7 linked regions of the Cricetulus griseus genome follow. The protein of the gene in region 5 interacts with the protein of the main gene of each other region in a pairwise test. Links are inferred from orthologs where the notes say so. Each region holds a gene or a part of one and is shown on either strand. Other genes may lie near its edges. The genes, in order: Garem1, Wasl, Ptpn23, Prr22, Grb2, Sos2 and Asap1.

The links.
Region 1: the proteins of Grb2 (region 5) and Garem1 interact in binary tests that used the Homo sapiens proteins (3 or more experiments, as listed by UniProt). The link is inferred for Cricetulus griseus from reciprocal best matches to the Homo sapiens genes GRB2 and GAREM1.
Region 2: the proteins of Grb2 (region 5) and Wasl interact in binary tests that used the Homo sapiens proteins (3 or more experiments, as listed by UniProt). The link is inferred for Cricetulus griseus from reciprocal best matches to the Homo sapiens genes GRB2 and WASL.
Region 3: the proteins of Grb2 (region 5) and Ptpn23 interact in binary tests that used the Homo sapiens proteins (3 or more experiments, as listed by UniProt). The link is inferred for Cricetulus griseus from reciprocal best matches to the Homo sapiens genes GRB2 and PTPN23.
Region 4: the proteins of Grb2 (region 5) and Prr22 interact in a two-hybrid assay, tested with the Homo sapiens proteins (2 studies listed by BioGRID). The two-hybrid records come from large-scale screens. The link is inferred for Cricetulus griseus from reciprocal best matches to the Homo sapiens genes GRB2 and PRR22.
Region 6: the proteins of Grb2 (region 5) and Sos2 interact in binary tests that used the Homo sapiens proteins (3 or more experiments, as listed by UniProt). The link is inferred for Cricetulus griseus from reciprocal best matches to the Homo sapiens genes GRB2 and SOS2.
Region 7: the proteins of Grb2 (region 5) and Asap1 interact in binary tests that used the Homo sapiens proteins (3 or more experiments, as listed by UniProt). The link is inferred for Cricetulus griseus from reciprocal best matches to the Homo sapiens genes GRB2 and ASAP1.

What each region holds. Positions count from the first base shown.
Region 1 is NC_048595.1:215,729,339-215,733,290, forward strand, and holds the start of Garem1 (GRB2-associated and regulator of MAPK protein 1), read left to right. Parts: upstream 1-1,152; 5' UTR 1,153-1,167; coding exon 1,168-1,630; intron 1,631-3,952.
Region 2 is NW_023276806.1:202,776,982-202,780,481, forward strand, and holds part of Wasl (neural Wiskott-Aldrich syndrome protein), read left to right. Parts: coding exon 1-51; intron 52-833; coding exon 834-942; intron 943-3,500. UniProt on the Homo sapiens protein: Regulates actin polymerization by stimulating the actin-nucleating activity of the Arp2/3 complex. Involved in various processes, such as mitosis and cytokinesis, via its role in the regulation of actin polymerization.
Region 3 is NC_048597.1:217,870,404-217,873,903, reverse strand, and holds part of Ptpn23 (tyrosine-protein phosphatase non-receptor type 23), read left to right. Parts: intron 1-1,807; exon of another isoform or gene 1,808-1,810; coding exon 1,811-1,938; intron 1,939-2,124; exon of another isoform or gene 2,125-2,148; coding exon of another isoform or gene 2,149-2,171; coding exon 2,172-2,248; intron 2,249-2,851; coding exon 2,852-2,901; intron 2,902-2,991; coding exon 2,992-3,123; intron 3,124-3,500. UniProt on the Homo sapiens protein: Plays a role in sorting of endocytic ubiquitinated cargos into multivesicular bodies (MVBs) via its interaction with the ESCRT-I complex (endosomal sorting complex required for transport I), and possibly also other ESCRT complexes.
Region 4 is NC_048598.1:96,776,455-96,780,316, forward strand, and holds Prr22 (proline-rich protein 22), read right to left. Parts: upstream 2,558-3,862; 5' UTR 2,284-2,557; coding exon 2,172-2,283; intron 2,132-2,171; exon of another isoform or gene 2,088-2,131; coding exon 2,022-2,087; exon of another isoform or gene 1,697-2,021; intron 1,596-1,696; coding exon 520-1,595; 3' UTR 501-519; downstream 1-500. Other genes in the region: Dus3l (tRNA-dihydrouridine(47) synthase [NAD(P)(+)]-like), read right to left, coding at 2,745-2,817, 2,890-3,018, 3,106-3,294, 3,422-3,497, 3,623-3,862.
Region 5 is NC_048600.1:128,239,968-128,242,641, reverse strand, and holds the end of Grb2 (growth factor receptor-bound protein 2), read left to right. Parts: intron 1-385; coding exon 386-571; 3' UTR 572-2,174; downstream 2,175-2,674. UniProt on the Homo sapiens protein: Non-enzymatic adapter protein that plays a pivotal role in precisely regulated signaling cascades from cell surface receptors to cellular responses, including signaling transduction and gene expression.
Region 6 is NC_048598.1:133,709,858-133,713,930, forward strand, and holds the start of Sos2 (son of sevenless homolog 2), read left to right. Parts: upstream 1-1,273; 5' UTR 1,274-1,317; coding exon of another isoform or gene 1,318-1,324; coding exon 1,325-1,411; intron 1,412-1,500; exon of another isoform or gene 1,501-1,590; intron 1,591-1,675; exon of another isoform or gene 1,676-1,733; intron 1,734-4,073. Other genes in the region: translation initiation factor IF-2-like, read right to left, coding at 167-282, 709-1,273, 1,318-1,326.
Region 7 is NC_048603.1:23,764,703-23,768,647, reverse strand, and holds the start of Asap1 (arf-GAP with SH3 domain, ANK repeat and PH domain-containing protein 1), read right to left. Parts: upstream 2,801-3,945; 5' UTR 2,678-2,800; intron 1-2,677. UniProt on the Homo sapiens protein: Possesses phosphatidylinositol 4,5-bisphosphate-dependent GTPase-activating protein activity for ARF1 (ADP ribosylation factor 1) and ARF5 and a lesser activity towards ARF6.

The sequences.
Region 1 (3,952 bases), on a different chromosome or scaffold from region 5:
TGAACACCTAATACTGAAAGCGTGTTGATGGAACAGGTTCACCTCAGGAGCTGCTCATCTCTCTAGCTGAACTTCATGAAAAAAAAAAAAAAAAAAAAAAAAGCAACACACAAGTCCGGGCTTTGCCTGGAAACTAGGGACCTCGTAATCCCTTCTATTATCTGAGCTCTGGCCACAACAAGCAAACCCTATTTCAAGACTGTGGGCAACATTATTATGGAAAGCAACCTGTGGGTTAAATGCTAGCACCGCTTCCCAAGAGTTGTGCCATTTTGTGACATCCCCGAAAGTTCTGGTAGCATGTTTAGGAAAGGGGATTTATCTATCAGAAGAGAACCTCTCTGCGCGTTGGAGGAGGATGACCTCCTGGACGTTGACACTCCACAGCTTTCTGCGTCTGGGAATCTTTTGCATCCTGCCTTGCAGCCACACTTGAACTGATCACAGAAACTTTCATCTCCGTCTATGGAGTCATGGAGTCAGGAAGCACCACCGATGGCTAACTCCACGGGCTGGCTCTTTCCCGCCCCGGTCCCTATAGCCAGGAAAACCTGCTGTAGCTGCCAGAGGCAACATCAGAGTTCGCCACTGCCGACCATGAAGAGCGCTGGCTGCACCGCGGGCACCGGGAAGGACGCGCCGGGCGAGGCTGCAGGGCGCGCGAGCGGTCGGACGGGGGAGCGAGAGCCAAAGCTTGCGGAGCGCAGCCGAGCGGGTACCACAGTCCCGGGAGCCGCCTCGGAGGGAGGCAGAGCTCCTAGCTAGAGAAATGTGCGGGAGGCGGGGCCTGTAGGAGGCGGAGCTAGGGAGGCGGGGCCTATGGGTACTGTGGTTGAGGAGGCGGGGCTAGGTTAAGGAAGGCGGCGCCAGAGGAAGGCGGGGTTATGTGTGGGCGGGAACTGTGAAAGGCTGAGCCTACTCGGAGGTAGGCGGAGCTAGTGGTGGAGCCCGCGTTCCAGGGAGGTGAAGCCTCGGCTCCAGAGAGGTGGAGCTAGTGGCGTGGAGGCGGGATCCGAGGAAAAGAGGCGAGGTCCGAGTCGGAGAGGCGGAGCCTGTGCCCCAGGGAGGCGGAGTCCCCGGTGGGAGGCGGGCACGGAGGCGGTGCCAGGGCGGGCTGCGCAGGCGTCCCATGCCCCTTGTTGATTAGTCAGTGCCGGGAGCGCTGCTATGGCGTTCCTCCGACCCGCGGCTCCTCCTCACACTGTGCTCGAGGCGGAGGCTAGGAGGGGCCCGAGGAGGAGGCGGGCGGCCGGCCGCCGCAGCTGCAGAGCCGGGCCAGGGGAGGCGGAGGAGGAGAGGAGCCGCCGCAGCCAGCCGGGCCGCCTGCAGCGCTCCCCTGGCTTGAGGGCGCGGGGCGCCAGCCATGCCTCGGTGTGGCCGCTGAAGGCGGGTGCCGGCGTCCCCGCCGCTGTGCCTCGCTGCCCGGCTGCCCGCGGCGGGAGAGCGAAGCCGCCCGCCAGCCAGCGGTGGAGCGGGCGCGGGAGCGCGGGGCCGGAGGAGGTGGGGAAGATGGACCCGGTGCCCTCGTTGGGCTGCAGCCTCAAGGATGTGAAGTGGAGCCCAGTGGCTGTGCCGCTCGACCTGCTGGTCAGCACTTACCGGCTGCCCCAGATCGCGCGGCTGGACAGCGGTGAGTACCGGCGGGGCGCGCGGGTGCCAGGAAGGGTGGGACCCGGGGGGGGGCGGGGGCAGTGCTCGCCCCTGGCTGTCTAGTTGGCCTGCGAGGGCTGCCGCAGCCCTGGCGCGGCACTCCACTCCCCCCCAGCAGCAGCAGCCGCCGTCGCCAGAGAGGTGCAAATCAGAACCCTTGCAGTGCAGTTAATAAGGGCACCTTAAAAAAAAAAATCAACATCGTGGAAACCTGCAGATAGTAACCTTGGATGCAAGAATTACTCAATCTGGGAACCCTGAAGTTGTCTTAGGCAACTTCCTGACGAAAATAATTGGGCTCTGGGTGGTATCTTGTTTGGGGTGCTCTCTCCAACCGGTCTTCCCTATGTCTGCCAAGAAACTGCAGATTTCAGAGGAAAAGCTCCCGGGTGACCCAATGAAAACGATCACGTTTCTTGGAGATCTTTTATTACAGCTCGTCTACTCTGTTTAACACAACAACGAGTGATTTAGGGTTGTGTGCAGAAAATGTCTTTAGCAGAAGTGATGGTATGCTTACGGTTAATTATTAGCATAGCGCGCTTCCAGCTTAGAAAAAATATTTTAAGCCGCTAAAGCATATTGATTTGCAATCTGAGCTCTGAACCAAGAAATGCCTGTATTTCCTGAAACTGACCACAAGAAAACAACCAAGAACACCGCCCCCCACCACACACACTGATTATTCTGCACTGTGACATATGCAAACAAATATGTAGATGTGCTACTGTCAGTCAAGTGGACACCTTTAGTTTTGAGATGTTGGAGGGGACAGTTTAAGTTGTGTCTGTTTTTTTTGCACTTGTAACTTCACCCAGTTAAGCTTCTTGGGACTTCAGATTGTAGGAAGAAGTCTGCTCTGCTGTAGGGCAGCCGGGCGGGCTGGCACCAGGCAGGCACATAGATAGAGCTGTGGTCACACACAAGCCAGATCAAAACTGGTCTGAACAGAAGGATGCCGTTTCTTCAAGTCACAGGCACTTGCCTTATGTCTTGCTTTCTAGAGTAAAGTGTGTTTCATATGAGATGTGTAAGTGCCCCCAAAGAGGTCTTATTCTATTGCTTGTCTGTAAGGCTAGACTAGACACTGAAACACTGACAAGAGAATTAATAAATGAGAAAGTTTTGAAAGCTGGAAAACAACATTGGCATGCTTGCTGTCTTTGGCTGGTGGTGGTGGTTGTGGTGGTTACTGGGAATAAACTAGAAGTTTTAAAACTAAGAAGGAAGTATGTGATGGTAATAACTGTTGAATCCAGGGGAGGACATTGAGGCATATTGAGGCATTTCTACTTAGCGTGGGGGTGGCAAAGTGTGTTGTGCTTTAATAAGTAACTGTGTGTGTGTGTGTGTGTGTGTGTGTGTGTGTGTGTGTGTGTGTGTGCAGTTTCATTTCCTCCAATGTGCAAAATTGTATGTTTTGGCAGGTTGTGAGTCTTTACCTTTCCATTTCCAGACCTTCCCTCATCTCTGCAAACTCTGCCAAAACTTCTCAGCGAGGCAATAGAGCATTGGTGCACGTGGTGTGCAAATTGCTCAGACTTCCTCCAACTCAAAGTGCAGAGAGACTGTGCATCAGCCTTAGACATAACTCTCAGTCTTACTAACTACTTTCCTATCCCTGTCATTCATTAAAAGGGTCTCAATCAGCACTGAGCTCACCCCACACTTCTTTTCAAATTGGGATGTGGGCTGCAAGTCTTAACACTGTGTCCTTTCAAGCCTTGGGATGGATTTTGATCATCATGTGTAATTCTAGTTCTTTATCATAAATTCCTCTTGTGATTAACCACTTGAGAATCCAAGTCATACTTGTAGCCAATATTACTGTATACCTGATTCCTTCATTAACCAGTCCCATCTCTTTTTTGTTAGCATAGATTCTAATAGCTGCATGATATTCTGTGGGAATGCCTATAGCATATATCTATCTGGCCCCTTATAGGTGGACATTAAATTGTATTTATATCTACTCCCTCATTAGTGGACATGAAGTCGCCACTTACCCTACTTCATCTGTAAGTTCCGAGATAATGAGCATTCCTATACGTAGGCTTGTTTTGGGGATGAGAATGTGTTCCTCCCTTGCTGAGAGCACATGTGAATCTTTTTAAACTTGTGACACAATTGTCATTGCCCTAGAGACCAAAGGTTAGACTCATGCAAACATGGGCATTGTGGGAACAGCACTGGGCCCACATCCTTACTATATTGTAGGGCTCCTTGCTTGCTTTTGAAGTTTTTGCTAATCTGATGGGAAGAGGGACAAGTTATTTTAACAATTTAATTTGGGTAGACTTTA
Region 2 (3,500 bases), on a different chromosome or scaffold from region 5:
GGAAGGGATGCGCTTTTAGACCAGATACGGCAGGGCATTCAACTGAAGTCTGTAAGTAATGTGTCCTTTTCATTTTGATTTTTTTTTTTTAAGCACTGCAGGCTTTTACCATACCCCATTATAAGATGTCTAACTTTGAGGGTTATTCTTTTTCTTTTTATAATTTTTAAGATGTTGGTTATGCGCAATGAAATATACACATTTTGGATGTGTACACTCTGTAGCTGTGTAGTCCACACTTAGTATAAAAATGTGACATATCTGTCGCCATAGAAAGCTGCCTTGTGCTTCCTCCCAACAGTTCATGATCTGATTGCTATGTGATACTTCTGTATATTCTAAATATCACAAAGATGGAATCTTACAATATGTTTATAATTATTGTTCTAGACTTTAAATAAAAGATTCTTTAAAGAAACTACTTAATAAACTAAAGGGAATTTTAAAAAGCCCTCTTGGAAGCAGCTTCAGGGTCTTGGTAAGTTCAAACAAGTAAACTTACAAAAATGGAAGCATACTCTTAAACACTAAAATTTTGTATTTGGAAATTAAAAATCAGACTCCACAGAAAAGTGAAAGCGGTCCCAACACTAGAATTCATCACAGTGATGGTCTATAAGTCTGGATTTTCTCATCATTTCTTCATCTTTTTAACTCCCCGCATTGCACCTTAATTGCAGATGAGCTCTTGGACTTTGCTATATGTGGGGTAGAGATCAGAACCCAGATCCTAAGGCTTCTACTGCAAGTCCTCTGCCCTCTGAGCCTTCCCCTGTGCACACAGATTCTTTGCTAAGGATTTCTAACTGAGTTATGATACTTCCTTCTCCAAGGTGTCTGATGGCCAAGAGTCCACACCGCCCGCACCTGCTCCCACCTCAGGGATTGTGGGTGCACTGATGGAAGTGATGCAGAAAAGGAGCAAAGCCATTCATTCCTCAGGTGCTCACGTGCTCTGGGAGGGGTGGAAGTGTGTCTACCTGATATGTGAAGCTCTGCATTTTCTGTTTGTTTTTATGATTTTCTTTGTTACATTTTTGTCTGATAATTATGCAGCTCATTTGGTGTTGCAGTTTTAAAAAGCAGAGCTTGAGAGAAAGATGCCATGTGACAGAGCTTGGGTGAAGGGGTTTTTAATTGGGGAAAAGTGAATGGGAAAGGGGGATGGGGACAGGAGCAGCCAAAGAAAGAGAAGGAGAGAGATAGAGACAGAGAAACAGGCAGAGAAAGAAAGAGAGGAAAATGGGAGGTTGGCAGGACAGAACAGGCCCTTTTAAAAGGGAACATAGTGAATGTGCACAGGTGGTGCTCTTAGTGACTATAGCTGAGGGCATATCCTGTCAGAACCCCAAGGACAGGCCAGTACAGATGCCTGAGTACTAGCAACTGGTAAGAGTTTTTACAGCATATTTAATCAAATTGTGTCCTCAATGACTGGTCTTCCTAAAATTTGAAAGATACCAGGACACCACAGCCATACAGAAACAAGAAGAAAAAAATTTGTAAAAAGTGATGAATTCATTTTCTGTATTGGAAAACACTATAGAATCATTGACAAACAGCCTCTAAATAAGACTTTGAGATTTCTCGGTACCATTTCTATGATATTCTAGTAATAAGAACTATAGTAACAAAACAGTGTTGTGCTTGGTTTTTTTATTCTTTGAGGGGCCTGCCATCTAGCTCCCAAATAATTATACTGAGACTTACGCCTTCTTATGAATGCCTGGCCTTAGCTTGGCTTATTTTCCACCATCTTTTCTTAAATTATCTAGTCTACTTTTTCCCTCTTGGCTTTCACCTTTCTCTGTTTCTGTATATTTTTTCTTCTTATTCTGTGTCTGGCTGGTTGGTTGGCCCCTGGCCTCCTCCTCCCTCCCTCCTTCCTTCCTTCCCTCTTCTGCCTCCCTTCCTCTCCCTCCTCCCTATTTATTCTCTCTGCATGCCAGCCCTGCCTCTTTCTCCTGCCTACCTATTGGTCGTTCAGCTTTTCATTAGACCAATCAGGTGTTTTAGATAGGCAAAGTAACACAGCTTGCAGAGTTAAACAAAAAATAAAAGAATGCAACACATCTTTACATCATTAAACAAATGTTCCACAGCATAAATAAATGTAACCCATCTTCAACTAATACTCTACAACACAGTGTAGTGCTGCTACAAAAATAGACACCCAAACCAATAGGACAAAATAGGGGAATTCAGAGATAAACACACAGTAGTGAACAAAAATTACACACTGAGAAAAAGGGCAGCCTACTAAATGAAGATGCTGGCAAATGGATATCCACTTGCAGAAGAATGCAGTTAAACTACTTTCATTCACCCTGCACAAAAATCAGTTCAAACTAGATCAAAATTCCTTAATTTAAAACATGGAATTCTGGAGAGAGGGGATTAGATTTCTTTCACTTTTCTCTACCTTCTGTTACTTTTCAAGTCCTGATACTAATACTGAAATAGTTCCTTATAGGAAACTTGTCTTATAAGGGAACAGAAGATATTCTGTTTTTATCTAGCCTACATATATAATGTCACATACAATTTACTTTCTGGCTCTTTATCATTGTAATCATAAGTATTAAACACCATCTTTGTTTACATACTTGGCCGTGGTAGGTTTTTGTGAGGTATGGATATCATGGAAAATTGATAGAATGTGAATGTTCACTGGTAGAATTAGATGACATTAAACCCTGAATTCACTCAGAATAATGATTGAACAGCCTCTGCACATAACTCCTGCTGTTCAGGATCCTATGGTATGTAACAGACCAAGACACAGCTTTTGTGGGGTTTGTACTCTAGTGTGATACATTAAGTTTACAGGCATTCTGAAAAATTAAGGAAAGAGGAATGGAACAGACAGTTCCCACTTCTGGAGAAGGGTTACACAGGATAGGCAGGAAAAGCCTCTTTCAAGAGGTGATTTCTGAGTGGGATGTAAATGATGAGACGGCCAGAAAAGGGAAAGAGTACTTCAAATGCTCTGACATGAAGGAACCAGTTGGGTGAGGGGGAGGGACAGAAAGGGAGACGATTGTACTAAAGACAGTGAGAGGAGGGACAGGGCAGGTGGGAGACTTAGAACAGGGCAGAAGGGCTGGACAAGTCATGTGTGATGTTTCAGAGGGAGTTCAGAGTACATTCAGGCAGCAGTAGCCAGCCACAGGAGGCCTTTGAAGGAAGAACATGACATTTTAAACTTAGAGTTTTAAGTATCTCTCCATCTTCTCTGAGGTGAACCTCCTTCCTGGAGAACAGCAGTACTTGAGGCAAAACCTGACAGTAGGTATGGACTGTGGTGGAAAGGAAGGCACTTGATGGAGGGAGAGGGAAAGCCTGCTAACCTAAGAGAAAGATGATGTCATTAAGATGAAGACAAGCAGATTGTGGGAAGAGGAAAAAAGTCAAGTTCCAGGGTTACAGATTTATGTAAAGAATGTAAAAGTAATTGTAAATCCAAACTCCTGAAAAGCTAACCGAAGTTTCATTTGACA
Region 3 (3,500 bases), on a different chromosome or scaffold from region 5:
CTTATTTAATCTTTTTAATTACTAATAGTCATCCTAATCAGTGTCAGGTGAGGAAGGGTAAAGTGTATGGGCCACACTGGGGTGTGCTTGCTGAGAGCACCCTTGCTAAGGGCTCCGGATCAGTTGGTGCTGCCTCGCCTTGCTTCAGCCCCGTAGCTATTAGCTTTCTAGTGAGGGTCTCTGGTCCTTTCTGCAGGGTGGGACAGGGGAGTTTATGGCTTTTACCCAGTGTCTCACTGGGCCCATGCTCCTTGATTGTTATATGATCTGCTTTTTAAAGTTTGAACAAAGGATTCCTTTGTTTTGTTTAATTTTCCTCCCAATTGAAAACAGGCTGGGCAGTGGTGGCACAGGCCTTTAATCCTAGCACCGGGGAGGCAGAGACAGATAAATCTCTGTGAGTTTGAGGCCAGCCTGGTCTACAGAGTGAGTTCCAGGACAGGTTCCAAAGCTATACAGAGAAGCCCTGTCTGGAAAAAAACAAAACAAAATATTGAAAACAGTAAATATCCAGAATATATGATCAAACAAAAATTTATGTCTATATCAGACATGAATCTGCCTGCCTATCTATCTATATCTGTATCTATATATTTATCGAAAAGAAGATAAATTGGGGCTGGGGAGTTAGCTTATTTAGTAAAGTGCCAGGCATGCCTGAGAACTTGGGTTTGGATCCCTCAAATCCATATAAATACCTGATGTGGTCATGCCTATTTGTAGCCCGAGTGTTTGGCAGGAGGAGGAAGGTCAGGGGGTGGAGATAGGTCGAGCCAGCTCTGGCTTTCCTGAGAGACCCTGTTTCAAAAGATAAGGTGGCAAGTGACAGTGGACGATACCTGCCATGTGCCCTGCACACGTGTGCGCATGTATGTGCAGTGTGCATTCACACAGAGAGAAAACACTTCAGTAGTGTGGCTCATACATAATCACAGTCAACATTTTGAGGTGTTCTTCTGGATTTTTTTTTCGTTTTGGTCCATGTATTTATTTGCTTATCCTATAGAAATGAGATCATATATTCATCTGTTACATTATTTTTTTGCCTGTATGTCATAGAAGTCATATCCATAGCAACCTTTGTCTTTAGTTTGGCTGGGGAATATTTTCTTGTGTGAGTTGCCTTGATATAATTGATGTAAACAATCCTCTTTAATGGAAAGTCTAGTGGCATCCAGTGTTTTAATCTGATAATGTTGTGAGAAATGCCCTTGTATGCACATCTAGATTTTTTCCTCCCTCTTAGATATCTGCCCTTCATGAATATTTTAGTCAAGAATGACCAAAAAACGATTGGTCCTCCCGTCGATCTCCTGGGATTACAGCTGTGCATACTGCCTGGCTCTCCTGGGTGCCTCTGGCTGTGCATTTTTATGTGTCGAGCTGTGGGTCAGAAGTTAAACAAAGGGGGAGGGGCAGAGTTAAACATAGCTGGAGAAATGGCTCAGCAGTTAGGAGCACAGACCACTTTTCTAGAGGACTCAGGTTCAATTCCCAGCACCCATAAGGCAGCTCACAACCTCAAGTCGCAGGGGATCCAGTTCCATCTTCTGACCTCCACAGACTCCAGCCACACATGTAATGCACATACATGCAGGCAAAACGACTACACGCATAAAATAGTATCTTTAAAGGTTGAATATAGTCAAAAATGTAAAGCATATTATAGAATATCTTCTAGAATGTGGGACAGACTCGGTCTACCAGCCTTGGCTGGCAGTATGGTATGTCCAATAACTGCAGGTGAAGATAGGGTTTTCTTTGAAAACTCTAATGATGGTGAACCCATTTCTTCCATCTTACTTCCCAGAATGCTATTCGTGTTGCACGGGATTTTGAGGGCTGCAGTGTCCTTCGAAAGTACCTTGGCCAGCTACACTACCTGCAGAGTCGGGTACCCATGGGCTCAGGCCAGGAGGCCGCTGTAGCTGTCACCTGGTGAGAGCTGGTAGGCTGGGCTGGGAAGTTGAGAACTTAGAAGGTGCTTAGACAGCTGGGATGCTTGGGTGGTAGGCGTGATCCTTTCCCCTCTCCTCCCCTTGCACAGGATGGAGTGTTAGTGTGAGCTCTTGTTAGACCCCTGTCTCATACTGGAATGGTTGGTTCCCTTTCCTGACCCTTGAGCCCAGGTCAGGTCCTACCCTCTAGATGACTGAGATGCATGTCTGCAGGACAGAGATCTTCTCTGGAAAGTCTGTGGCCCACGAAGACATCAAGTACGAGCAGGCCTGTATTCTCTACAACCTTGGTAAGCTGCTGGATCCTTCCATGGGTCCAACACCAAGCCCTGCCAGCCCTGGGTCTCAGTTCATCAGATCACACAGCCAAAAAGGCTATGACTTAATGAAAGGAAGATGCCTGGGTTCTGACCCCTCCTGCCTCTACCACAGCTACACTGGCACCTCTGCTGTTGTCTGAGGCCCTGGGAAGTCACTGTTTAAAGAGCTACTCTGCTGGGCTAACATGAAGCTGTCACTGCACTCCAATAGGGCGTCATGGCCTTTCTTTGTCTGGATAGTGTCACTTACTCCCTACTCCCCTATTAATGGCTTCAGATTGAGAAGATAAGGCTGGCCTTAGATTGCCCTTCAAGTCATTGTGGCTTTTGGCTGAGGGGAAAGCATGGGGGCTCCTCCCTCCTCTGCCACCCAGGCAGGTGCATGGCAGGGAGGATCTGGCTGGGTTTGTGATTGTTCCTCCTTGGTTATCCTTGCACTGACTGCCCAGTTCTCGGATCTGTTTTTCTGACTGGATGACAGCAGGAGCTCCTCTACTTCAGTCTCAGCACAGGTGTGGTCGGCCTGGGGAACATCCCCAGGCTCTCCTAACAGAATGTCCCCTGCCTGTCTAGGTGCACTGCACTCCATGCTGGGGGCTATGGACAAGCGGGTGTCTGAGGAGGTAAGGACTGGGAGGGGGCAGCGAGCTTGTGGGTGTGCTGTGTCCTCAGCTGCCAGAGGAAGTGTCATCTTTTCACCTGTTCCCTCCCAGGGCATGAAAGTCTCCTGCACCCACTTCCAGTGCGCAGCAGGTGCCTTTGCCTACTTGCGTGAGCACTTCCCACAGACCTTCAGTGTAGACATGAGTCGCCACATCCTCACCCTCAATGTCAACCTCATGCTGGTGAGCAGGGGTGGCCCTGGTGGAGCCAAATTGTTTTTGTTTCTGTTTTGAGATGAGGTCACATTTTGTAGCTCAGGCTGGTCTGGAACTTACTGTGTAGTCCAGGCTTACTTCAGGGTCATGGCCAATCCTCCTGCCTCAGTCTTTTGTGGTTAGTCATGAGCCACTACCCCTAACTTTAGTTTGAGCTGGAGAAGAAATGGCTAAGGAAGACGGCGGTTACATCTGGATCCTGCCATGTTCCAGGCAGTGAGGGACAGGCAAGAAGGAGGCCTTAGTATTGGGTCTTTTGAGTTCCAGGTAGATCAGGCACAGGGTGTGGTAACTCGGGGATATTTTGGTTTGTCCCTCGGCTCCCAACAAGGGAGGGACCTTCA
Region 4 (3,862 bases), on a different chromosome or scaffold from region 5:
TTCAGTGTGAGGTCTGGATGGAAAAGAAAACCCCACTTCTCAGGAGGCCTCCCAACATGGCCAGCCCCAGGTGACTGATTTTCTTGTTGATACAGTCTCATATAGCTCAGGCTAGCCTTGAAATTCTGATTCTTTTGGTTCCTCTCATTTCCTCAGCACCAGGGTTACACTCATGAAACACACAGTTCATGTGGCACTGGGGATGGAGTCCAGGGTCTTGTGTGTAGCAACTGAGCCCCAAGCACTCTACCCACTGAACCCCAAGCACTGAAACCCAACACTGTATTCTACTGAGCTACAGCCCAGCCCCTGTGTCCTCATTTCTTTTAGACGGGGCATCCTTTGTGGTTCTGACTGACTGCCCCAGCCTCCCGAATACAGGGTAACAGTTCAGATGCACGCCTGATACCTGACACTTAATTCTGAGGTTCCTGGCCCAACTCTGAAGGCGTCTAGCTACTGCCGGGTCCCCTCTGGCCTCACCAGGTCACAGCAACACATAGCAGAGATCAAATCACTTTAATTGAGGGCAGTTCCCGGGTCCGGCCTGGGTCCTGTGGTTGTGGTGCCAGCGGGGCCTGTGGTCTGCCGTTGTCTGCCACCTGGTTTCCCTTTCTTGGTGGATGTGGTGGTCTTCTTTCCTGACTGATGGGACCGTAGGCCAGGGGCCACCATGTCAGTGACAGGGACCCCCACATGGGGCAGCGGCTCATCATCCAGGGCCTTGAAGCTGAAAACGTAATCCACACTGGCCACAGCATCCAGGACCTCAGGGACGCCATAGTCGAAGGACAGCAGCTCATCTGGCAGGTGCAGGGAGCGGATGTCGGCTGTGCAGTCATCCCCACCACCACCACTGTCTCTCGGGCTGGGCCCGGTACCCCTGTGCAGGGCCACCTCAGGTTCAGCGCCACCAGGGAGACAATCGAAAAGTTTCATGGCATCTTCTAGAAGGACCTTGTCCGGTAAGAAGAAAGCGCGGGCCACCTCAGGAGGCACGGTCTCACCTGAGCCCATGGGGGTGATGTCCTCCACCTCGGCCACCTTGGGCTCCGCAGGCCCAGGAGGGAACCGCAGACCCAGCCTGGCCACGGCACTGCCCTGCAGCTCCCTGGGGGCTTCGATGGGCCTCATGGTCACCTGGGGCCCTGGGAACTGGCTAGCATGGCCACTGAGATGGCCATAGGGTCCAGGTGGCAGCGAGTGTGCCGTAGGGACTGTGATGAGCAAGGGAGATGGCTTAGTCTCTTTGGGGGTTGGTGGGGGTGCCAGGCCATCTCTGAGCATCTCCATAAAGTTGAGGGACCCTCCATCCCCCACAAAGCCCACTGCCTCGGGCCCAGACTCCTCAGGTGGAAGGTAGTGTGTAAGGTACTGTGGCCCACCGGGAGCTGGCTGGTAGTGGGGGTACAGCGGAGGTGGAGGCCCCGGGGCCTTGAGGTAGGATGGGGCCTCCAGCAGGTAGCCACTGGACAAGGTGGGACCCCCGGCCACTGCCACCTTGTATAGGGACGACTGGCCGAAGTCGGAGGTGGCCCACTCGATTCGGTAGATGCGGGGGTCAAAGAAGCAGCCGCAGGGAGCCATCTGGAAGCCTGCAGGTGGCAGACACTCTGAGAGGGGTGTCCATGGGGGAACCAGACCATGGGATGGGAGGGACAGACCAAGACCCAGGCACATAGGACACAGCCCTCACCTCAAAGGTGCCTGTGTGTACTGGCTTTGTTTAGCAGTCATCTGGGGATTCATGGCGGGTAAGACACTCGGAGACTGTTGGGGAAACTCCTATTCTCAGGGGAGCAGTGACTGAGCTTGTGAGTGGCTTGGCCTTGTGAAAACCCTTACCTAGTGGCAGCTGTTGTCACCGAAGCAAGCTTCGGCCTGGTCTCTAGTTGTCACTTCAAACTGTGGCACATGAGTTAGTATGGGGGGGATCTGTCTGGGGTACAGAGGCGACCCAGGGTCTCATCTCGGGTCAGGACGGAGCCTGCTCTCAGCATGCTCAGGGTGCTGGCCAGTACCTGCTGGAGGCGCTGATAGCACATCGTGGTCCGAGCCGGGAGTCTGATAGAGCAGGCTGGCGCTGGCTGTGGATAAAGGCGTCTGGTGGGTGGGGCAGGAGCCCAGGCCCCGTGGCCATCACACACCCCTGCCTGCTACCACCATCGTACCTACGGTGGGAAGTGGTTCTGGGCCACCTGGCACCTCAGTGCCCTCCAGGCCCCGTGGGCCGAAGCCTTCCTGGGGTATGGCTGGGGGGTAGAGGGTTTTGGGGTGCTGCATGGGGCAGACAGGCCACCCTGGGGGGGGGGCCTGGGTGGCAGCAGAGGCACCTCGGGGACACAGTCCCCTGGGTTGTTTGCCCTGTTGCTAGGTGGAGGGTTCCAGTCCAGGATGGGCCCACCCCTCGGATTCCGGGGTGGGGGTGGGCAGGAGGTGACTCCCTTCACTGCCTGGGTAGATACACCCTGGGCCAGGTTGCCCAGATTCACAGCCACAAGGGTGCTGGCCAGCAAAATGGATAGCTGGGAGTCGAAAACAGGGCAGACAGGAACCAGGCACCAGCAAAGGCCACACCCTGGATGAAGAGGAAAGGATGGCACATAAAAGAAAACTGAATATGATGGTAGGTACGTGCCTAGGGTTCCAGGAGTTCAAAGTAAATCCCAGGAAACATGGAGCCTTGTCTCAAAAACCCAACAAAAAAAAAGTTGTAGAAGAATAAAATTTATTGTCTCCGTTGTCTACTTGTAGGCATTGGCTTTGTGCTTGGGCAGGAAGGCAAAGCCGGGTGGGACTGGTCCAAGCAGCATCTCACTGTGGGGACAGGGTGACAAGTCAGGCCTGGGCCTCCCAGCATCACCCCACAGGACCCAGGCCAGTGGGTACCTGATGCGAATCCAGTCTGCGGCCTGCTGGCTGGCCATGAGCGTCTCCAGGTGGTCTCGGCCTAGGTAGTAGGGTGGTCTTTCATTGATCCTCTGTGGGAGTCGCTCAAGCAGGCCCACGGGCACATACCTGCAGGAGGACAGGGGAGGCAATAAGACTGGGTGAGGCCTGAGGCTACAATCCGAGGCTCCAGCACTCTCCTTGTCTGACGCTCACCTGCAAAGAAAGGAGAGCCACTCGAGAAGGAAGCGCCGGGTCCGCTCCACACCCTGCGTGTCAGAGCCCCAGTGTTCCAGGCCGTAGTGTGTGAAATCCCTCAGGATGTCCAGGCGCTCAGAGGACGAGATGTCCCAGTGTCTCTGTTCCTTGATCTCTGTGAACAGCCAGGGCTTGAGCAAGGCACCACTGTGGAGGGAGACAGTCAGTGGGTACAGTGCTTCCTGCCAGTCACCTTAGCACCGGGCCTTGCCCACCCAGAGGCCCCATGTGTAGAAACCTCTAGCATCCCTGTCCCAGCCCAGATGCCACTCACCGGGCGATCATGACCCCTGCGACACCTGTCTGCATGGCACAGTTGGCATCCTCAAACGAAAGGATGTCCCCGTTTCCTGAGGAGACAGAGTGGCGTCTTGACAGTGTTGGGGAAGTCATCGGTCTTGGGATTTCCCAGGGACCCAGCATCCTCCCTGTCTTTCCAGCAGGGTGAGTGGCCCCGGTGGCTCTGGGCACCTACCGAACAGGGGCATGGGGCTGGCTACCTTGGCGCACTGCTCGATGTAGGGCCAGTCAGCCAGCCTGGTGTAGCGCTGTTCCCGGGAACGGCCATGGAGCTGAGGGGAGGGGGGTGCAGTGATGAAGGAAGGTGGAGGGGTTAAGGGTGAGAGGGGGCAAGGGAGACAGCAAGGAACCAAAGAGACAGAAAACAAGAGACCAGGAAAACCACAGTGACCCCAAGATGGGACCACACTGCCCC
Region 5 (2,674 bases):
TCTGCTCGAACCCCTGTCCTTTGCTTAATTACAAGCAGGGGTTTCAGTCAGAACTGCCTTTTGACTTGTAGGACCTAAGTGACTGGAACACAGACATTTTTACACCTGTTAGCAGAGCTCTGGTGCGCACAGCCTATGTTGTTGCCGCCCCCACTAGTTTAATAGGCCCATTGGCCATCGTCAGTGACATAGGTGTTTGTACCCGAGTGGGTTTTGGATATCAGTAAAGGATTACTCTGAACCCAGCTAGGATTGAGGGATGGTGGGATGGAGGAAGTTAGAGGGAGGCTGCCTTGGGAGTGGGTGGACAGTGAGCAGTGGCTGACAAGGCAGCTGGCAGCATGAGGAATGAACGCCGTTCTCGTCCTCTGCTTGTCTTTTGCAGCAGCCAACGTATGTCCAGGCACTGTTTGACTTTGACCCCCAGGAAGACGGTGAGCTGGGCTTTCGCAGAGGAGACTTCATCCATGTCATGGATAACTCAGATCCCAACTGGTGGAAGGGGGCCTGCCATGGGCAGACCGGCATGTTTCCCCGCAATTACGTCACCCCAGTGAACCGGAACGTCTAAGAAGCAGAAGAGATTATTTAAAGAAAGTGAAAAGTTGAGACCATTCACAAGAATTGCACCCACATGCTGCCTGTCACAGCTTGTGAGGGAGTGCAGAACATCTGGCTGGGTCCTACTGGTGACCCTCTCACTTAGGTTGAAACTTTGGGGGGTGGGAAGGGGTGTTTGATTTCATAATGCCAAAACTTAACCTATTGAATTGAATTACAGTTTTTATTACAGAATCTCACTGCTGCTCCTGTTCCCCTCCTATCTCCTTTTCTCATCCTTTCTTTCCTGTCCTTCAGTGCATGACGTTTGAGGCCACGTATAGTCCCAGCTGATGCCAATACTAAAAGAAACCAAGTGGGCTGGTACTTTCTCTATGCAAAATGTCTGTGGAGATGAATGGACTAAAAGAGCTATATTCTTCACACACAAGGGGCGGCCAGGGCACCTGGGGCCCGTGAATGGGCTTCTGCCAGAGATGCCTGAGGGCATCTGCCTCCAGCCCAAGCCTGGAGCATCCCGTCAAGGTTGGACTTTGTAGGGGAAGGAGGCACGCCACCCACCTCTGGTCCCCGAGTCACTGCAGACCTGCGCCTCCTCCCACTGTCTCCCCGTCAGGTGTTGCTCAAATGTTGTTTTTCATAGTGCCTTTTTTCTTATTTCAAGGGTGTTTTATGAGTGGTGTTTTTACTTTTTTTTATATAAGTTAAAGACAGTCCAGAGCTTTTCCTATCCTGTATAATATTTTCCTCTCAGGGCAGGGGAAACAGGATAGAGAAAGGAAACAGGAGAAGCAGAGCGTGGTATTGCCTGTCTGGAGGGGCCAGAGGTCTTGGAAGACTCTGCTCCCTGGCTGTGGTCTGCCCTTTCCATGCCTGGAGCCAGTGAGTGTCAAACACAGAAGACAGGGGCAGGTGGCAGCCAAGCTGTCCTTCCTCCCCTGTCACAGGCCTGCACTCGGGTGGGAGCTGAGAGTATGGCTTTTCGTTGTCCTTGCTCTTAGAATTAGGTCCTTGCTCTCAATTGTGTATTTTCCAACCTGCCCAAGAGCGCAGATAGCAGGGTTGGGGCTTGGTGTGTTCACAGCTGTTCTGCTGCCGCATCCCATGAAGCTGTGTGAGGTGGGAAAGAGCACAACCCATGCAAAGAAAGCTCTTTGTCTGTCTCCTGTGAGCTTCCAGTCCTCTGTACACCAATCTCTGCACCTAGCCTCCTTCCCACAGCAAAACAAGGCTCCTCCTAGTCTCCCTTGGAGTTGGCAGTGTCCTTGGGCTGCTGGGCTCTTCGGGGTGGGGTCTCCCCTGGACTCTGTTGGGAGATGGACTCAGCCCTGCCCTGGGGGCGGCCTTCCAAATGGAGCTGTCCCTGCCCTCCTGGTTTTGCTTCCTCTTTCCCTGCTGATGATAAAATGAAATAATGAGTTACACCTGGGCCATTTGATTGTTTTATTTTGGAATTGGTGTATATCATGAAGCCTTGCTGAACTAAGTTTTGTGTGTATATATTTAAAGATCAGTGTTTAAATAAAAAGACCTATGTACTTACTCCCTTAACTTCTGCGAATAGCGATTTGGTAGGTAGTGATTAACTGTGAATAAACATACAATGAATTCTTCTCAGTGCATCTTCTTTTCTCCCTGATGACGTCTTTATATTCTAGACAGGGTCTCTCACTGTTGCCCTGCCTGACCTGGAATTCACAGTGTTCCACCTACCTCTGCCTCACGGATGCTGGGATTAAACACAGGCTGGTACATCTAGCCCCTGTGGCCCCAGAACAAGTGATTAGTTCATCATTTGGAAATTGGTTTAGATCAAGAGCTGGGCTTACAAGGCTCCTCCCGATCTCAGAGGAAGTAGCTGAGACCCCTTGACTATGACTGCTGCTTCTAGGGTGAGACAAGGCTCTTAAAGCAAGGGTTAATAGTTGAACAAAAGAGAAATGACTTTGAGCAAACAACCTCATTGTGGTATCACAGCTAGGGAGTTTCCGGGTGCCACCCCTCCCCTGCAGTGAGTTAATAAGCAAGAGGGCGGTGCTCCTGTCCCCTCTGCTGGCTCTGGTTCCATGCAGACTACCCTGAAGCTAAGCAGAAGTTCCCAACATGAGGTCAT
Region 6 (4,073 bases), on a different chromosome or scaffold from region 5:
GGGAGAACAATGCTCAGCTACCGATTCTGGAACTGAAATTATGGCACAAGCTGTCTTTTACAGTTAGTTCTCCCGTTCCCTTCCTCCTTGCTGGTGGCTGGGTGCATGACTGTTCACAGCCTGTTGGAGCAATTTGTTCAGCAACTTTAGTGGGATGAAATTTGGGCTAGCGAAAAAGTTTCCAGAGTTCATGCCTCTTCAACTCAGAAAAGCTTAGGGCCAGAAGATCTTTTCTGGTGCTAATTAGTATGACTGCATCCCAGGATCCAGGTTCTGTAGAACCTGAATTGGAAAGGATTTGAAGGACATGATTAACAAAAGAACCATACATGAAAGTTTTATGAAGATACTTTTTTTTTTTTTTGATACACTTATGTGAAATGCCTCGAACTGAAGTCACCCGGCCCCGAAACCGCGCGCTAAGCGCTTTCCACGACCCCACGTGCTTTTATGAAACAGCTACCAAATCTCCCAAATATATGAAGGAGCCATGTAGAGCACAAATTAGATATCCTATCAGACAAATGTCCTTCTCGCCCCACATCGGTGTACTGCGGTCACGGCTCGAAGCTCCCTCTGAGCTGCACCGAATCAGGACTGTCTGCAAGCGCGGAGGACGCTGCCGAGTGTGTCTGGAACAGCTCCCACCCCGCCCGGCGCACATTCCCAGGAGACACCGACTACCCTCCCGGCCCCCGGGCCCCGCACCCGGCGCCTCGGCCCGCTCAGCGGCGCGCATGCTCCGTGCTGGCCTTCTCCCTAGACTCGGGAGTGCGAGCACCGGGCCGTGGCTGCGAGCCGCGGCTGCTGGGACCCGGAGCTCGGCGGCGGCCCGCGGGGCTGGAGGGGCGGCGGCGGCGGCGGCCAGCGCTGTGCACGCCGGACACGCGCGCCCGATCGCCCCCGAGGGCCCTCTGGAGGTGACTCGGCGGGCCCGGTCGGGCGCGTCGGCTGCGCGGAGGGCGGGGAGGCGATGAGGACACTGCGGGCCGCCGCTGTCCGCCCGCCGCGGCCGTAGCGGGAGTCGGGGCGGGGCGAGGCCGGCGGTGCTCCGGGCTGCGCACCCAGACAAAGGAGGAGGAGCCGCCCGACGAGCCGCGGGGAGAGCTGGGCGCCTCGGGCCGCGCGCTTCCTCGGGGCTGCGGGGCCGCCGAGCCTCGGTGAACGCCGCCGGCCCGCCCGCCCGCCCGCCGGCGCCGCCCCCGAGCGCTCGGCCGTAGCGGCGGCCCGAGCGGAGGCGCGGCCGGGCGAGGCGAGGCGGCCCGCGCCCTGCCTGTCAGGCCACCGGGCCGGCCTCCGATGCGGAGGCGCCGCGGCCGGGGCCATGCAGCAGGCGCCGCAGCCCTACGAGTTCTTCAGCGAAGAAAACAGCCCGAAATGGCGGGGACTGTTGGTCCCGGCCCTGCGGAAGGTCAGTGCTGGGGCCGAGGGAGGTGCCGCGCGCGGGCCGGCGGGCTGGGTGGGCCGGGCCGGGCGCCCGCAGAACTTGTAACGGGGAGCATGGGTCGCGCCCGCATCGGGTCCCCCGGCCGAGCTTTCTCTCTGGCCCGGAGCCGGGTGCTCAAAATTGCCTGTTGCATCCCGAAGGACGTTTGCTCAACTTTTTTTTTTTTTTTTGGCCTGGTCCCGGAAGGAAGGTTTTGTTATGATCATAAAACTGGATTTCATGTTACAGTCATTTCGTCAGGCAACTTCCGCCGTTGACCAATTTGTTGTCCTCGGGCTGGATTCGGGCAAGACAAAGTCCCGCTGGTCTTTAGTTTCAAAAACAAATGCAGTTTCGCACCGAGGAACTACTTTTTAATTAAGTTCTTTGGGGGGTGTTCGCTTCGGGCCGTTTGCTTTGCCAAGGTGGCCCATTCGCTTGTGAGGCAGTGCTTTTTTTTTTTTTTTTTTCTTTTTTAAATCTAATATGGATGTGTGTTTCACATGTGTGAAGTGTCAGTGAGTCATAGTATTCGTTTTCCAGCTCTTGAGGTGAATCTAAAGCGCCTCTCCACTTCCTGCAGAAGTCTCACCTGAATACAAGGACTGCCTCATAAAATTGGATCAGTTTGCTCACAGCGATGAGAACTTGCAGTCATCTTTAAGGGACAATTGGGGGCAGCTCAAGCAAATCAATCTTTGAAGTTTGGATGCGTGGTTAGGATACATATCTTGTACTGGTTGGTGTCAGTCTCTTAGGAAGTTAGGTAATTATACAATGGTTTTTGTTGCTGTTGTTAAGTTCTTTTTGTAAGCCAGACACACGGGCTCAGGGCTAGCCGTCATGCCCCTGAGACATTTTGCCTTTTCTGCAAAATAAACACGAATTAAAATAATAATCATATTAAATAAATAATAATAAAAATTCTTGGGCTAGCGAGAGATTCAGATGGGGAAGGGTGATCCTGCTGTCCAACAACACAAGCTTGATGGCTTGAATTTCATTGTTGCAACTCACATAAAGGTGGTAGGAGAGAACTGACTCCAGAGTTGTCCTGGCCCTCATGCAGGATCTGCATCTCTCTCTCTCTTCAGACACACACACACACCACCCATGCACACACGCACCGACTCCAGTTAGTTAAACCCCTGCTCTTGAGGGAGTCTGTTAAATGGCTCAGGGAGTAAAAATGCTTTTTTGGCAAGCCAGATCACCTGAGTTCATGCCCAGAACCCAGATGGAAGAGAGAACTGACTCCCAAAAGTTGTTCACATGCTCACACACACTAATAACAACAACAGCAACTACACTTGAAAAATAATTGTCGTCCATTTCTAGGAATTGAAAGACACCTTCATGGTAAAAGCATTTCCTGGTACTTTCAGGATTTCAAGTTTTTCCATTGCCATAATTTCTCACGAGGAGGTGTTTATTGGTTTCCTTGGGGAGCACACTGAGTCATGTCATTTTAAAGAACTTGGTGGAAATGGAAATCATGTTAAGTAGTGCTAATGAACTCTGTCTTGAATTAAAAGCAAGGGGGGGGGGAATACCTAGATAGTAATTAGCCCTTCTACCTCACAGAATGGCGAATGCCTTTATCAGCGAGATCTGTGCTGGTGGTGTGTGGTACAAATGTGCTACTTCATAGTAAAGGAAAGAAACACATTTGTGACAGTTTGGTCTTTAGTGGTGAATGTTAAAAGCAGTTAATACTACTTTATTAAATTCGCATTATGGATTGAAGTACACACCCATGGAAAACATCTTATTTTTAGAAAAATTTTGCCAGTACTAATTCATATTTTATGTGGTTTGATGTATTCTAACTTTATGTATTCATTTAACATCTGTTGAACACAACTTAGATACTTGATACCATGCCAGATTCTAAGAATACAAAGGTGAATTTATTATTATTATTATTATTATTATTATTATTAACTATGATTTTTTGAGACAGGGTTTCTTTGTATAGCCTTGGCTGTCCTAGAACTCTGTAGACCAGGCTGGCCTTGAACTCAGATCCACCCATCCTGCTGACCCCACACTCCCCATTGCTGGGATTAAAGGTGTCCCCCACACCCAGCACAAAGGCAAATTTTTAAAAGGAAAGTTATTCTCTAATGGTATTTATTATCTAGGCCAAAAATTCTGTTTTGAAGGATTTGACTTCTGTAAATGAGTAATTTTGACCATTTTTTTGTAAAGAGCGTCTTTCTCGTGTGTGTGTGTGTGTGTGTGTGTGTGTGTGTGTGTGTGTGTGCACGCGCGCGCGCGTGTGTGTAAGAAGCAGTGTTGTCTCAGTCAGATTAGTGATGAAGTCACCAAAACATTTCAGAAAGGTGAAGTCATGACTTTAATTCAAAATATAAATGAACACACGTCAGTGATTTAAACTTATTTATTTTTGAGAGAGGGGCACACAAGCTGCCCTCAAACTTGTCATGTAATGGAGGGTGACCTTGGACTTCTGAGCCTTCTGCCTCCTCCACCTGGGACAGAACCCAGGCTTCCTGCTTGGTTGGGTAAGCACTCTACCCAGCCTTCAGTGTTTTATTTAATGAAAGATCTAGTAAGATGTTAAAGCCATTCATATGACCATTTGGATATTTATAGGATACTTACTGAAGTAATATTAAAACTA
Region 7 (3,945 bases), on a different chromosome or scaffold from region 5:
CCCTCTTTGGGGGAACACTCGTGTGTGTGTGTGTGTGTGTGTGTGTGTGTGTGTGTGTGTGTGTGTGTGTGTGTGTGTGTGTGTGTGTGTGTGTGTTCACTCATACCCATGAGTGAACACTGGGGGTTAGACACGGTCTCTCACTGTATTTAGAGCCAGGCCGGTACGTGTCAGCAAGCTCAAGCGATTGCGGTGCTGAGTCAGGGCACCTGGCTTTTTACAAGACTTCCGGGCATTTGAACTCAGGTCTTTATACTTGTACATCAAACACTCTTTCCAGCTAAGCCGTCTCCCCAACACTTCCTTGGTCCTTCTTAGGAGGTAAAGAGTCTAGAGCATACCACAAGTGCTCAACAAGTACTAGATATCACTGTCAGCATCGCCTGTGTAGGAATCATTAGTGCAGACTTCTAGAAAAGACCCCTGGAAACCGTGTGAGAGACGCCACAGAGAGGAAAGAATGGGGGAGGTGAAAATGAAGGGGGGGTGTCAGAAAGAGCTCATCAAAAAGCAGAGTCCACTGCAGGGAAGAAACACGAACAGCACAGGTAGGAGGCCAGCTCTCTTTTTCCTCTAGACCACAGCCACCTGGATACAACATGAGCAGCCAGCTGGGAGGAGGGTCTGGACCAGGAGGGCTCAGCTTGAATGCACACATTCATCTCTGGGCCTGCCGGGCTTGCATTGGTTTTTTGGAAACCTGGCTTGCTGTGAGTGGGAGAGGTGTAAGGAATTTCAATTTCCTTCACCAAATGGCAAGCTTGTGAGCAAGTCCTTTCTCTCCAACATTATCACGTACTAAAAATGAAAAGCCAGCAGCCACCCAGCTTTCATGAGGAGGAAGGTAGGTGGGCTGCCCAGCTCACAGAAAGAGGAGGACTCAAAACCAAGACCTTCTGAGAATCTCACAGACCATTCTGTGTCAAGACACTGCCCCTTTGGAGTCTTGGGAGTTTGTACATCTTCAACCATAAGGAGAAAGTAGAGAAAAGCAATCCCCCATCTCATAACTACAATTGTATATTTCAAATCCGTTTGATAGTTGAATCCCAAATGCACTTGGGTCAGTGAATAGAAGAAGTTGGGTCATATTTTAATTTTTTGTTTTTTCTTTTAAGCCAGCATGCAAGGTACTAAAAATAATTATGCATTTTTTAAATAGGGTAATTTAAAAACGCCTTATCACAAAATAAGTTCTTTCAGATAACTTCATATCTCAAAAACAGCGGCAATTGCAGATAAGCGAACAAGAGAAGGCGCTAAAGTGGCGAGGGATTGAAAGACACAATTCCACATCTGGTTCCTGGCTGACAGGCCATAACCCGACACAGGCAGAGAGAGCAGCCTGGCCCCAGAGTTTAGCGAATTGGAAGCTAGCTGTTTCTGGCTAGGCCACCAAGTGGTCATGTGCCCTTTGACAAGACAGGTAACCTGTTTGAACCGCTTCCATTCCACGTTAACAAAAAGTGGAAACAGTTCTTCTATGGTTTTTTGCGCTCTCTTTTCTTCCCTTACAGGATTCCCACCCCCAACTCCCACCTCCCACCCCCACCCCCACCCCTTCGCAATGGCCCTGCACGGGGGGGGGGTGCGGGAACGGGGGCCGGGGCGGGTGGCGGGGGCGGGGAGCTCCCAACCTGACCACTCAGGTTAGAACAGACACGAAAACTGGCTTTAAAAAAAATTAAATTCTGTGTTTTGCAATCTGAAAACATTACTCAGCAATCCTGCACCACCGCTATCCCAGAATCAGTTCTCTAAGACAACCTGATGGAGTAGATGGAGAAAAACAAACTGGTGTTTTGGAATCGTACAGCTAAGGCTATGGTCAAGTTGATGATGGTCTAGACTTGGCTAAGCCTCTCTCCGTGATAGAAAAAAGACCCGCCTTCTCGGGATGAATCAAACAGCAGAAAAGCAGATACCAGCGAGTTTCTTTTTTTCTTTTAAACTTACTGTGACACTCCTAAAAAAATCATCAGGTCCCCAAATGGTACAAACGGAAGACACAAGGCACTTCTCAGCTCCCAGGAGGAATTACCAACCCCCCACCCCCTTGGTTTTCTTTTGGGTTAACTAAGTGGTCTGGGGCCTGCCTGGCAGCGCCATGTCCAGGCCGGGTCCCGCGCCGAGGGGAACTTTCCTCCACTGCGCCGGAGACAATGCGGCGGCGGGTGCCGGCGCCTTCAATCGGCGCGGGGAGAGCGCCCGGGAGAACCGGGAAAGTGCCCGGGAGGAGAAGGAGAGCGCCCCGGAGAACCGGGAGAGCACCCGGGAGGAGGAGGAGTGAGCCCCAGCTTCAGGGGAGAGTGCTCAGGAAGACGGAGAAAGCGCCCCCAAGGACGGGGACAGCGCCCCCTCGGATGGGGAGAGCGCCCGGGCGGCTGTCCGCGCCTCGTCCGGGAACGGGGGAGCATTGCGCCCGGGGCGCATCCTGCCCGCCCCCCCCCACCGCAACCCGGGTCGCCTCCGCAGAGCAGGGGAACGCGCACCCCAGCGCTGCGGATGCGGAGCCCCGGGGCGGCCTGGCCACAGCCCCGCAGAACCGGCCGCGCGCCCCACACGCCCCCAAGACCCCGGGCTGCTGCTCTCCGGGATGACAGGGACACCCGGAGCCCGCAGGGGTGCGGGTGGCCCCGCCGCGCCCGCCCCGCCGCCCCGCCGCCTTGCCACTCACCGGGACCGGGCGGGCCGCTGGGCATTATTCCATCGCGGGCGCGGCGGGGCCGGGCGAGCGGGAGCCGAGCGCGGCGCAGGAAGGGGCGGGCGACCATGTGCCGAGGGGGAGGAGGCCGGCGACGCGAGCCGCTCGCTCGATCCCGCTCGGCGCGGCGGCGGCGGCGGCGGCGGGCGCGGGCTGCAGGAAATCCAAACACTTCGGCAGGAAATCGGAATCCTGACTAAGCACTCCCGGCCCGCGCCTGCCCCGCGCCGGGGGCTCCCGCCGCGCTTAACCCTTGGCCCGCCGGTACCCTGCGGGTCGCCCCAGTAGGACACCGCAGGGGGTGCGTGGGGTGGGCCTCGTCCTTGGCCACAGAGGGCAGGGGTGAGGCCCGTCTGCCGCTAAAGCGGGGACACCCGGAGAGGACCGTAGCCTCCCCCCCACTCCCGGCCAGGATGGCCTTGCAACCTCTCCTGACGTCTCCCCGTCCACTTTCACGGGTTCTTTCCAGTCGATCCCTCTCTTTTTGCCCAGTGCCTGGAGGCAGAACCTTTTGGGTCAGAATAGCACAGGGATGATCTGGCGAGCGTATGGATTTCCATGTCTGAACCCAGGTTGGGGAATGGCCTTTTCCTTTCTCCTGCAAATGATACTCCTTGGGCCTCAGTTTCTCGAATGAAAAACCAAAAAGGAGTGTTTGTAGACTTAATCTGAAAACCAGATGCTTACACTGGCAAGTTGGGAATACCAACGATAGCCATGCTTGGCCTTATTATTTGCAGTCTCAAGACCTCGGCGGAAAAAGGCCGCTGCCCTGTGGGATGTGTGTTGTGTGTGTCTATGTAGACTTACACCGCTGGGGACAGGTCTGACCTTTCAGACATCAGTCCGTTGTCCCTGTCCCGTCCACCCCATCACTGGGTGATTGCTTTGCTTGCTTTTCTTTGAGTCTTCCAGAAACTGCTGTCTGAAGAAAAGGTCAGCGGCTGTGCGGACCCCCTTCTGGTGAAATCTGAAACTCACTAGGCCTCACAAAAATTTGAGATTTTGTTCTTAACCTGAGGATGGCGGGGGTTGGGGATGGTTCAGGGGAGGGCGTGTTAATAAGCCTTGAGATGCTCCAGGAGGTTTAGGAAAAGCAGCCTGGAAGTCTGGGCGGCCATTGGAGTGATTCATTGTGGTTTCCCAAGGAAATGCCACATTTTTTTTTTTTTAACCTGGAAGCTGCAGTTTGGTGGTTTTGCTTAAAGTGTTTCAGATTCCTTTGAAACCCGGACTTACAG